Linked DNA regions of Saccharomyces cerevisiae S288C. Changing the gene in region 1 together with any one later gene gives a genetic interaction. Each region holds a gene or a part of one and is shown in the gene's direction. Other genes may lie near its edges.

Evidence for each region. Genes that interact genetically often act in the same process or in processes that back each other up.
Region 2: mutations in ERR1 (region 1) and DSC2 together harm fitness less than expected from each alone (positive genetic interaction), as found in Saccharomyces cerevisiae (2 studies listed by BioGRID).
Region 3: mutations in ERR1 (region 1) and VIR1 together harm fitness more than expected from each alone (negative genetic interaction), as found in Saccharomyces cerevisiae (2 studies listed by BioGRID).

What each region holds. Positions count from the first base shown.
Region 1 is NC_001147.6:1,077,533-1,082,824, forward strand, and holds ERR1 (phosphopyruvate hydratase ERR1), read left to right. Parts: upstream 1-2,743; coding exon 2,744-4,057; downstream 4,058-5,292. Other genes in the region: FEX1 (fluoride transporter), read left to right, coding at 1-379; HSP33 (glutathione-independent methylglyoxalase family protein), read right to left, coding at 1,013-1,726; seripauperin PAU21, read left to right, coding at 5,186-5,292.
Region 2 is NC_001147.6:193,303-196,348, reverse strand, and holds DSC2 (Dsc2p), read left to right. Parts: upstream 1-1,548; coding exon 1,549-2,517; downstream 2,518-3,046. Other genes in the region: THP1 (Thp1p), read right to left, coding at 12-1,379; YOL075C (uncharacterized protein), read left to right, coding at 2,807-3,046.
Region 3 is NC_001139.9:426,692-431,859, forward strand, and holds VIR1 (Vir1p), read left to right. Parts: upstream 1-1,909; coding exon 1,910-4,639; downstream 4,640-5,168. Other genes in the region: OCH1 (initiation-specific alpha-1,6-mannosyltransferase), read right to left, coding at 1-113; PNC1 (nicotinamidase), read right to left, coding at 606-1,256; transcription factor MIG1, read right to left, coding at 4,857-5,168. UniProt on the Saccharomyces cerevisiae protein: Component of the MIS complex, a complex that mediates N6-methyladenosine (m6A) methylation of meiotic mRNAs and is required for initiation of meiosis, progression through the meiotic divisions and sporulation.

The sequences.
Region 1 (5,292 bases):
CGCTGGTTTCCTAAGATATTGGTTGGCAGAAATGTTTAATAAAACAAACAAAAAGTTTCCATTGGGTACTTTCTTGGCAAACGTTTTCGCCACTTTATTGATTGGCATATTTACCATGGTGCAACGTGGTAAAAAACACTTTTCTACGGACGTTCCAATTGTGAACTCGTTGAATTCATGTCATATTGTTTCTGCGTTAATATCCGGATTTTGCGGCACTTTGAGTACCATTAGCACGTTTATCAATGAAGGGTATAAGCTATCATTTATTAACATGCTTATTTATTATACTGTTTCGATTGCAATTTCATATTGCTTATTGGTGATAACTCTCGGATCCTATGCTTGGACTAGAGGATTGACCAACCCGATTTGTTAGGATCTTTTCTTTATACTTTTCCCTGCATAATCATCCCACTTTTTTTTTTTTTTTTTTTAATTCATTTTCAAGATTTTAGACGTTGTATAATACATTTTTACCCACTACTGCGGTTTATTGTAATATTTTGTGAGATTTTATGAATGCGTTCCATCATCTATTTACTACAAAACGATAAATTTCCCCGTTTTCTTTTACTTTTACTTCATTTAATATAATTCATATTTATTTCCCATGTACCAATTAATTACTCATAAAAAGAACAGAAATAGAAAAAAGTTGTATATAACAAGCCAAAAAAAAGAAAAAAAAAGGAAAAAAAAGAAAACACAGCTTATTTCAAATTGCAATCTGCGTATTTCGTAAGTAACGAATGATCTCACAGCATTGCTTTTTTTTTTTTTTATATATATATGTACATTACCTATGTCACATATGACCATGATGAATACAACACTAAAAACCAAGGCCTACTATTCAATTGTTCTCTATATGATTTCCATTCTAGCAAAATCGAGTGCTACCGACCTGCCGTTTTCTTTACCTTTCGAACCATTGAGCTGTTAGCCTTCTCTTCACAGAAACTGAAAGTCATTAAAAGCCTCCCCTTCAACAATTCCCTTGTCTTTTGTTTCAGCTATATAATGCGTTTATAGCTCTAATTGTGGTCGAATAGGAAGAATTTGCGTTAACACCCGTAACTAGCTTTCCATCTGTAATAGAGTAGTCATCCCAGGGATGGATTGGCGCCAAGTACTTGGCTCCATTCTTGTTTGCAACGCGTTCAACCGTTGTCAATTTTCTGCTCCTCAAGATGTCGTCAACTCCCAGGGCGATTTCACCCTCGAGTGGGAAACCTGTTATAGCTTTGCCTTCGATTAATGGTCTTGTTGTTTTGATATCTATTAATCCATCGAAAAGGAGCGGTCCATGACAGATGGCAGCGATCACACCCCCATTGGCATATATCTTGGATGCAATATCTTGCAGATTTTTAGCTTTGGGATAGTCAAATAGAGCACCATGTCCAGCAGATGCAAAGAATACTTTATAGTCGCTGGCGTTGACTTCATTTGCGGTCTTGATCCTCGCTAACGCCTTATTGAAGGCGGAATTTTTCGTTTCAAAGTTCATCTTATCTTCGCCACCAATAAAGCTCTTTGGCAAGTAATGTTCATCCCAGCCAAATCCACCAGTCTCAGAAACGAAGTCCACTTCGAAACCATGCTTTTCGAATGTATCGAACGATCGCAAAATCTCAACTACAAAAACGCCTGTTTTCGCACCATCTTTGTAGAAGGGACCGTGGTATGAAGTAAGAGATATTAGCGCTCTTTTTGGAGTCATTGCAAGGCCAGTTTTCTTTTTGAATGAAGGAGAAAAGTGTTCTAGAAATATGTTTTAGTTCTAAGTATCGTTGTCTGGAGCAAGCAAAGAAAAGCAGACCTGTATGTGCAACTTTCCTGTTTTCCATTAAAATCTCAAGAACCGACCCCTTGACTGTGCTCATATATCAAGTATCGGTTTTAAAGTCCCCTAATTGTGATAATTGCAAGAACGACAGTCAGAAAGATATTTTTTTTTTTCTTTCTCTTTACCTATCCTCCATAAAAATACCTATGCTGATACTGAATATCTTCATTTGCAGCTATGCAATATTTCAGATACCCCATTTTACCCAAGAGTTTCTTACTGGTGGTTGGATTTTCTTTAAGACGAGAAGATTACCAGTCCTGGATGTTCGTGAATGTGCCTATTGCGTCATCAGCGACTCCGCGCCAAGAAAAGAAATACTCGCATGCTCGGATTTATAGAATCGCATAATGGAAATACCTTCCTTAAAGGATGGAGATAAGGAAAAAATGACAAGAACAAGGAAGTACTTGGGAGCTTTCTCCGACATGGTAAATATTTGAAACTCACGCAGCTCTCCTGGAAAGTTGGATCTGGAAAGGTAAGGTTGTTTTTTTTACAGACATCAACCAAAATCGGTTCTTGTAGTAGACAATGTCACAGATCGCCACAAGTTGAAAAAAAAGTTTCGATGAACTGGATAAGGGGAGAGGTCACAAACAAAGTGTAGGGGGTGAGTAGTATAGTGGTAACTTGTTCATTTACCTAAATAACATTCTCACTAGAAAAGAGATATTGAAAGACTCCTCGTTTACCTAACTTGGCTGGTTCTTAGGTATATAATAGAAACATGGATCTGGCAGGTTATCACTTACAGTTTGCACTCCCACCAGGTTACAATTTTCATTATATATAGTTATTTTTTACCACCACTTCTTCTTCTTTCACTTTGTCTTGCAATAGAAATACCAAAACAAGGTGAGGAAAAAATCGAATCTCAACGATAAAAATATGTCCATCACGAAGGTACATGCTAGAACGGTGTATGATTCTCGCGGCAATCCGACTGTTGAGGTTGAAATTACAACAGAGAATGGTCTCTTCAGAGCGATCGTCCCATCTGGTGCCTCCACCGGCATTCACGAAGCTGTTGAACTTAGAGACGGGAACAAGTCCGAATGGATGGGAAAAGGGGTGACCAAGGCAGTCAGTAACGTCAATAGTATCATAGGGCCTGCTTTAATCAAGTCCGAATTATGTGTAACCAATCAGAAGGGCATAGACGAGCTCATGATATCGTTAGACGGAACTTCTAACAAGTCAAGGTTGGGCGCCAATGCTATCCTTGGTGTTTCCTTGTGCGTTGCTCGAGCTGCTGCCGCACAAAAGGGAATTACTCTCTACAAGTATATAGCCGAGTTAGCGGATGCTAGACAGGACCCCTTTGTTATTCCTGTTCCTTTTTTCAATGTTTTGAATGGTGGAGCCCACGCCGGTGGCTCTTTAGCTATGCAAGAATTCAAGATCGCGCCAGTCGGGGCTCAGAGCTTTGCAGAAGCCATGAGGATGGGTTCGGAAGTTTACCATCATTTGAAGATATTGGCGAAGGAGCAATATGGACCTTCCGCTGGAAATGTTGGTGACGAGGGTGGAGTTGCCCCCGATATTGACACTGCCGAAGACGCCTTGGACATGATTGTGGAAGCCATTAACATATGCGGTTACGAGGGTAGAGTGAAAGTAGGAATCGATAGTGCTCCTTCTGTTTTTTATAAGGACGGGAAATACGACCTAAATTTCAAGGAACCGAACTCTGACCCATCTCACTGGCTCAGTCCAGCCCAGTTAGCAGAATATTACCATTCATTGCTAAAGAAATACCCAATCATTTCCCTGGAAGATCCCTACGCCGAAGATGATTGGTCCTCGTGGTCTGCCTTCCTAAAGACTGTCAATGTTCAGATTATTGCAGATGACCTGACATGCACCAACAAGACCAGGATCGCCCGTGCTATAGAGGAGAAATGTGCGAATACTCTGTTGCTGAAACTCAACCAGATCGGTACTCTGACTGAGTCTATTGAAGCCGCCAATCAGGCTTTCGATGCTGGATGGGGTGTAATGATATCGCATAGATCAGGTGAAACCGAAGATCCGTTTATCGCTGATTTGGTCGTTGGTTTAAGATGTGGTCAAATTAAATCGGGCGCTTTGTCGAGATCAGAAAGACTGGCCAAGTATAATGAACTTTTGCGTATCGAAGAGGAACTGGGGGACGATTGTATATATGCTGGTCATAGGTTTCATGATGGAAACAAACTATAAAGGATTGTCTTGTTTCCTTTTTTTTTTTTTTTTTTTTGTTTTTTTATGACTAAATAAAGTAAATCATATGAGGTTTTATTTTTTATTTCGTTGATTTGGGTTACAGTATGGAAATGGGGCATTTGACACAAGTTATTTTATTCATATGTTTTATCTTGTAGGAAATCAAACCGTTTTTAAAGTTTTCCATTGCCTACACACAAAATCATTACGAATCTGTCTGAACAAGGGTGGACGTGTGGGGGAAGGCTGTTCCAATCAAGAAATGCTTACAACTCTACTAACACTGCAGTTTTTCAGCTTTCTGATTAATCTCTTCGGTTTAAATTTTTTAGCAGCTATTACTTTCTAGTAACCCTTATAACGCGGTTGGTATCAAATCTTCCTGATAGTACAAGCAGACCTTTGACCCCATTCTTGTTGTGTCTTGAAATCTTTTTTTCTGACAAAAGTAAGAAGTTACACCATAATAGAGAAGTTAAATAATGAAAGTGTATCGATCATAGAAATGATTTTATTTTTTTCAACTACTGTTACGGTCAAGAAACTAATACTGAGGATAAGTTTTCGCAACAATGATTTTGGTACAAGTGATTTAAAGTCTTGAATTACTTCAACACAATTTGCTTTGCGACGGTTTAGAATAACGTAATCGTATCAACGAATCCACTAGGCGCGCGTAAAAATTACAGACTCTAACAATATACGACTCCCAGCACATACCTACTATTCTGTACAATTCCGGGAAATAGGAGGGTACAGTATTATTTTTTCTCGGCGATCGTTTAGGGTATACTGGAGATAGGCTTAGCAATACGCTTCTGAACGAGGATCTATAGCAACTAAATTCAGACATTCTGCTATACCAAAAAAGGAAGTATCACAGGCACGGAAAAGGGTTTTATAAGGCACCTCGGCACCCCTATAACTGGCATTCTCACATTCGGCGCATACGAATAGACAAAGGCCCCAGAAAACAATACCTTCGCATACAGAATCTATAAAGATGCATGCCTCGTTTAAAAACAAAAACATCTTCATAGTGATCATGAAGTTGTGGGAAAGATGAGATATGGAGAATATGTGAAGTGCTAAAGGAGCATCTGTTAACGAATCGTTTAAGTGGTGATGACCAATGAAGGAATAGGTATAAATAGAGATACTTCAACTATATGCCTTCGAGAATATGTCTTTATTCATTTCTTTCCTGTTAAGCTTATATCAGCACTAACAAA
Region 2 (3,046 bases), 890 kb from region 1:
ATATCTACATATCACCAAAGAACGTGAGAATGGGCAGGAAACATCTTGGTGATTCGTTCATTAACCGGCGGAACAATCTCTTGTATCATTGTAGTCTTTTTCACTACACACAGTTGTAACTGTGGGAAACAGTTTGCGCGTAAAAGTCCCAAGTTAATCAGTGTCACAAGTACGTTTTCGACGTTCTTGGGGGAGTGAATGCCATTATAAATGGTAATTTCCTGGGCGCCGGGATCCTCGAATGTCGGACCAATAGATAGCTGTAGTACCCGTTCTATCAAGGAGTACGGTAATTTGTTCTGACCCCATTCGGTGGTCCAGGACTTTATTACCGTTTTAATCAGATTTCTGTACGTTACCATGGGCAGTTTCTCTAGGAGCACGATCAGTAACTGTCTTGCACACAAATGACGCTCGTTTTGTCTCAGCCAGAGACTCACGCCTTGAATATTCCCATAACGTACGTGTTTGTAGAGAACACTCCAATTATCAATTGTTTCTTGGGAAAGGAACGGTCGCAACGGTCCCCATTTGACCATCTTTCCCAGTATCAGCCCTGTAGGGATCATGTAATTTAGTATTCTGGTGCCATTCCTAGTGATCGCTTGGTTCGTTAACGGCAAGTTCAATAAGGACTGGAAAGCTTCATTGAATTGAACGAAGGCATTATGTACTTGAGAGTTCAACAAGTAGTACCTTCCTAATAGATATCTGTATTCTATTTGCTGGTCGAGCTGGTATTCGTTGAAATGTGCAAGCATGCTTTTTGGCTGAAAGTTCTTAAAGATATTGGAACATAATTGCGGTGACTCGATCCTGAAGTAGATGTTATTTAGTTTATTGACCAGGTAGAGCAGTATTCGTTGTTTTCCAGGTATATTTGTAGAAGATGCGTTACCTCGTGGAGGTTTGATGCTGTTAAATAGTCTTGATAGGATGGACGATATATGTGATAGAAATTGGTGACTTCTCGTATGCAGTTGCAAGTGGAAAGAGTCTAGTTTCCCAGCGAGATTGATGATAAATTCTGTTTCTCTAGTTGCTACTGGTATCAACATTTCTATGTGAGGAGCATTGTCGTTGATGAGACAGTTGATTAAACATTGATAAAACTCAAAAATTAGATCCGAACTGGACCAGGCTGACCATGGGTCGACATCTCGGGCATAATTTAAAAAGGATGTACACATGATTTTGAATCTCGTATCATTGGGCATAGCCGGGTGTTGTTCTACAAACGTTTCTAGCTGTTTATCATCAAATCCGGTCAATTGCTTCTGTAAGATAGCAATTTCCCTACCATTTTGGGACAAGTTTAGCGTTAGGTGGGAAAAATTTCCATGTGCTAATTCATCTAGCAACTGGTTGGCCATGTCCATTGCTATCTATCCTTTTATCCCTGCCCTGTTTCTTACTTTGAATGCCATTGATGTGAAGATGGTTTTTTTTTTTTGGAAAAGTATAGAAGAGAAATTTGACGTATAAACTTAACTATTAAAGGGAGAGAAAGTCAACGACATAAAAAGCAAACACAATAGTCTACAAATAATGTCTATGGAGCCTCCTGTGGGGCTTACGGCTATGCCCGTCACCAAGCTAGCCATGATCACGACGCTTGTGGTTCCCTTAGTTGCCTCGATTGCAAGTTACAAACATATATTTCTATTGCAATATGATCCTTTTCTGCAGACCTACCATCAATACTACCGTCTGCTCATATTCCAGTTCTGCGCCATCAATGAATCCGATACAGTAATACTGGCGTTGATATGGTATCTGTTTAGGCATTTAGAACGGCTACTAGGATCCCACAAGTACTTGACCTTGATTGTTTTGTCATGGGCCTACACCACCTTAGGAATTTGGGGATTGAATCTGATCTGGAACGCATTTATTGGACAGTACAAGTGGCTTCAATGGAACAATTTTAGTACAGGTTCACTGCCCATTGTTTTAAGCTTAGTACATTTTTACAAAGAATACACCCCTCAGATTTACGAATGGAATATAAGATTACTAGGACCTCGAGGAGGAGCATCAAGTCACAATGATAACAAGCGAGAAGACAAGAGCGCCGTAGAGTGGAAAATCAACGATCAGTTTCTTTTAAATGGGTTAATTCTCCTGCTTATATTAAATCAGGGGTTTGCAGGAATACTATGCGGATTCATAAGCTGGATGTGTGGTATTTTCATCGATAAGGGCCTGTTACCGGGATTAGACCATTGGAGAATACCGTTTGTATCCTATTTCATCTCTCAAGGCCCACCCACGAGGGCTAACGTTGCTATAGCGGCCAATGCGGCCACGAATACAGCAGCAGCAAGAGCCACTGTAGAAGCAGCTACTGCTGCTACAGGAAATGGAAATACAGGCAACTCTGGGCCTACAAGCCTACCGCTTCGTGGTTCAAGCACCACCCCTACAAATACCTCTAGCGCTGGTGATGACGAGCCTGGTGCCGATGAACCTGCAAGACCACTGGGAGTCCAATTTTTGGATACCTTTAGGAGATGATTTATATCAGCATATACCTACATAAACAAATAAACATAGCAACGGTTTAGCAACATCGTTTACAGCCATGTGAGGCAGTTACTTCTATCATATGTCTGGCTTTAGTATTGTTGGGTTGACACTTATACGAAATATCAGAAAGTGAAAAAAAAAAAAGGAAGGATCTAGTGATGAGATAAACGAATTTGTGATGTAAATGCAGAAGTAGGCACAAGTGCTTGGCAGTTTTCAAACGATCATCGTATTTTAAGCTACAATCACCAACGCCAAACATCCACTTGCAGCCACTATGTCACAGCAGGAGAATGGTGATGTGGCCACTGAATTAATCGAAAATAGACTTTCCTTCTCAAGAATCCCTAGAATAAGCCTTCATGTAAGGGATTTGTCAATCGTTGCATCCAAAACAAATACGACGCTAGTTAATACGTTTTCCATGGACCTGCCCAGTGGGTCGGTCATGGCAGTTATGGGTGGTTCGGGGTCAGGGAAGACTACGTTGCTGAATGTTCTGGCATCCAAGATCAGT
Region 3 (5,168 bases), on another chromosome or scaffold:
AGCAGCCTTTTGTTTGACAAGTGAAATGTCAACAAAGAATAAATAAGAAGTACGGTTACGACTATTGTTTTTGATTTCCTTGTAGCGATCAGGTGGGACAACTTCCTAGACATGATCTCTTCTTTCTTTTACTTGCTTTCTTTTTCCAAATTGCTATTATTGCTCTTGAAATGAAAACGGAATCAAAGAACTAAAACAACCTATCCCTATTAAATATAAAAGGATGCAGATGGGGAGAGAGAATGTGGATTGGCGAGAAATAATGTCGGTATTCGAAGAAGGCAGAAATACTAAAGTGGCTACCAAGCTACCAAACTACCTTAATGCAGAAGTTTTGACGTTGCTGTCCCTGCAACGTGAAAAGTCCAAAAAGGCGCGTTTAGTTGAGGCCCAGCCAAATCTTTTCGCGGTGGGCCGGCCAAATAGTTTAAGCAATTTACCCAAAAAAGAATAAAGAGAGGCGTAAAGACGTTAGTTAATATTTTATTATTCCTTCTCCATATGTCGGAATTCGGTGTACATACATATATATAGATATTGTTATATAGATTTGTGCATTTGCAAGCCACCCTAGTTCATCAGGTTGAAGAAGTATTATTCAGCTCTTATTTATCCACGACATTGATGTTGTGGGCCTTCAACTCTTCCTTAACCTTATTGATGACTTCGGGATCATCGCTGATGGGTCTTGTGTAATCCAGCAGGACAGTGGTCTTATAACCTAGTTCTGCAGCGGAAATGGCGGTGGCTTTGACACAATACTCCAAAGCTACACCGACAATGTAAACCTCGTCTGTATGATGCTTTTCTAAGTACTTGTTCATGTCGGTCTTATGGAAGTTCCAGATGTCGTGGAAGGCGGAGTAGTATTCACGGTCAGTCAAGAAACCCTTGTCGACAATCTTAATATGCTTAGTGACCACTTGGTCCATTATTTGGTCAACCAATTGACTACCCCAGGTGTTTTTCACACAGTGTACGGGCCACAAAATACCCTCTTGCGTGGAATCATCGCCTGGCCTTGGAGAGTGGTAGGTGTATGTTGAATAGGGTTCTTTATCTTTATGGTTCTTTGCGAACGAAATATGTCTGGAAGGGTGCCAATCTCTGGTGACCACAATCCTGTGCCAGTCTCTATCAGCATCTTGCATCAAATCCGAGATAGGATTGATTAATTCCTCACCTTTTGGAACAGTCAAGGAACCTAAAGGTGAAATAAAATCATTTTGCATATCAACAACAATTAAAGTCTTCATTTTTGTACTGTATTTTATTCTTTCTAACAAAGATATAGATAATCGTAAAAGAAAGTTTTGTTTGAAGGTTTCCTCACCTATTGCATCCAACCAGGTACCAGTTAAGAGTACATTGTATATGAAAATATATATATGAGTAATATATATATATATAGTTTTATTAATAACTATTAGCACATCATAATCGTATCTGGAGACACATACATAGTGGGCCAAACGGAAACCCCTGCCCCTTGAAGAACTTTTTTTTCATAATTCACTTTTCCAGTACGTAACACCACGCGGCGCCCCTTTGTGGGGCCTGCCCCTTTTTTTTTTTCTTTCTTTTTTTTCGGAAACATTCCGCGAGATTTCGGCACGTCCCAAATGATATCGAGCTAACACGTATAAAGCGATAACGTATATAACGACGTATGATTTTAGCAACGGAAGACGTTAACAATGACATATGGATATTTATTTATATATATAATATAAAAATTTCATTACCCTGTGTGCCACCTTGATCCTTGACTTAATATATTTTTTTCTGCTTGGATCTCGGCGGCAGTTTTTTCTGTTTCATATAAGGAGGATCGTAGGGAAAGAGGAAAACAAAAGGCATAATTAACCAATAGCAACAATATAAGCAGTACAGAACCCTCACCACCAGAATGCAGAAGTGTGCTGGCCATGCACCACTGGTGACTGCAGCCTCGCGGGTCTCCCAAGACACCGTAGACGCTCTTTTGCAAGCTATTTTAAAGGCCTACCATAAATTAGCTTCGATCGACAGTCACATTAATGATCCTGTTGAAATAGCCTTCAAGCTCATAAACTCTTTTAAGTATCTGCCAATTTCAGGCTCTTCTGTAAAAGATTTTGAGTCGGAACTGCGGGAGTTAGACGTTTTTTCTCCCCTTTTGCAGTCAGCCGTTACTGCTGCTAATAATAGCAATATCATATGGGACCTTATAGCGGTGTTATTTGCATACATTTCCATCCATAAACAGCTCCATCCTTTGATCCTGCACAATCTGAACATATGGAAGGATTTTATGGCAGATAATGACGAAGAAACGGCGACAACCACGGACGGGGACTCAATGAATTTCGGCGTACTGTCGCTTCTTTCCATTGTTCAAAATTTTGAAGAAATAACGCCAAATCTATTTGAGTTTCTAAAGCTCGGTTTGAGATCCACTTTACTCAAGATATGGGTAGCACAATGGCAAAGATACGATCCTTCGGCAACGAACTTAATCAACGGTGATGAGAAAATTTCTAGCTGGATAACAAAGGATTACCAGGTGGATTTTTTTATCATCACTTCATTAGCATCAACGTCCTCATTAGAAGTTTTGCCATCTCATTATTTTGTGTACAAGATCTCTAAAAGGATCTCTCACTTCCCAAATTTAATTGATCCTAAACTATATCGATCTGCAATTTCTACAATAATGGAAAATGGGATTTCAGACAATGGTGGTGGTGAGAACTCCAGCGACAAAATTGATCCGACTGATTTGTCCTTTCACTTACAAGTTTTAATGGAAGTTATTGACCATCCTGAGTTGAATTATTTGCAGGAAAATCGATTAATTTTGTTGCTCGACATTGCATTAAATTATTTAATCCTGGTTCCTACTCACTGTTTACATTCAAACTTTGGTGAATTGGGCTCTACTCAAAGTTTAGCATCCACTTTAAATATCATTCAGTTCCTTCTATCGAAATTCTTAATCAACATGGGCAGTATTTCGCAATTAATTAATCAATACAACAGGAAATGCATCACTACTAATAACATCAATAATAACAACATTAACAACAATGGCGTTATTAATGGTAGTACTAACACCACTAGTACTACTACTACTACCATCACTAATAACAATAATAATAGCAATAATAGCAGTATTAGTAATAATAACAGAAAAATAGACTGGACGCAATCATATCAAACGAGGTACCAAATTCCATACTGGTTTGAGGACTCAATTTTGCCACCAATTCCGCCTATTTCGAAATCGCTTTTCACTTTTGACAAGAACCTAGACCATGAGTCGGATTCAATTATGATTGTAAATGATGTATTACGCTGTTTGAATTTAACCATTCTTTTAATTTCTAAACTTCTAAGGGATTATGATGACCTGAAGATTAACCCACTAATTCAATCATCAGATGATCACAGTAATGAAGACAATCATGTGATAATAGAACAATACATGCAGCTTTATCTCGTTCCATTATTTACTTCATTATTATTGGCCCAACAATTAAAAGACCGAGGCCAAGAACGAGATGAAGGACATAAAGAGAAAGAGGAAAATATAAATCTCATCGGGTCTTCCTCAGTCAAGAAATTATTTTCTCAACTAATTTTTTTTAGCTCTTTGAAATTGTGTGAAAATTTGGTCATAAAGGAAAAAAATTTAGCACTATATCATTTGATCAAATTCGCGACAAAGGTTTCTCTGGATGATTTGATTTTACAAAAAATATCCATAAACTTATTGAATCATTTGTTCTTCCATCAAATTAGGGATGGAAGTGATGATGATAATTTAATTAAAAAGTTATGTTTAAAAAATCAACTTTCTTTCCAAGCTTTGAAAGATTACATCACATTGTGGAATGACGGTTCTGAAGTTTATAATGCATTTTATAAGGAGCTTTTCTATGAAGAGCAACCAAAGATTAAGCCAATAAAACTAACAACATCTGACTTGCTGAAATTATTCCCTGAGGATGTTCAATTTGTGATATCCACTCCACCAAATACAATAACTTCAGCATCAACAAGCGATAATTGTACATCATCACAATCAGCTGCGCAGAAAAATATTGAAAACTTTACTACGTTATCGAAGTACGATGTCTACTCGTCCACATCTTTCATACCGTCCACGTCGAAAAACACTAACACTAACGTTAGTAAGCAGCAGCAGCAGCCTCAAAACTCTACTCCATGTTCTTCCAACAGGTTTTTGTTCAACAAAAGCAGCCTAATTTCTCAGGAAAGTAATGGTAGCAACAATAACAGCGGCACACAAGGACCTGGTTCCATGAATGAGAGTTATTCTCTTGACAATTCATTCAACACAACCAATACCAATATGACGAGACAACCAACCACCTTAACTAGAGCAACCGATGCTATGACTACGGCACCTACGACACCAATTCCATACAAGAACACTAGTGGAAGCAGCAATAACAATCTATGGATTGAATCGCCCATGACAAATTTCAAGGGTTCCACCATCAGTAAAAGTACTAATAAGAGCAAAATGGTTAATACTGGTAAAAATTATATTTTAGGGGGCCACAATAAAGTTAAAAACAACAGTAGAGCTCAATCAATACATATAGATGACTTTGAAAATGAGAACAATTAATTATCTCTGCGGAAGACTAAGACAATCAAAATATGTATTCTTACTATCATAATTAAATATTTTTATCGTTATTAATTATTATTATTATTACTATTATTATTATTATTATTATTATTATTATTATTATTTATTATTTATTAATTATTAATTGTTAATATTATTAATTCTTGTCTATTGTCTTTTGATTTATCTGCACCGCCAAAAACTTGTCAGCGTATCAGTCCATGTGTGGGAAGGGCAACGGTAAACTTCTTATGGGTGGTAATGTTTCCAGTTCTTGAACTTGTGAATCCGACTGAGAAATGGGGGTTTGTTGGGTGGATATAGCAGTATTAATCATATTCACCCTTGGTGACAATAATAACGGGGTTGTACTTAACGAACTACTGGAAGCCATCATTTGATTTTGATTTTGATTTTGACTTTGGTTTGACGTATTTTGTGATTGCAGTAGGGTATGTTGCTCTTGCTGCTGTTGTTGAACGTTCAGTAATCTGTTGTTCAACTCCTTTTGGAAATCAGGAGATGA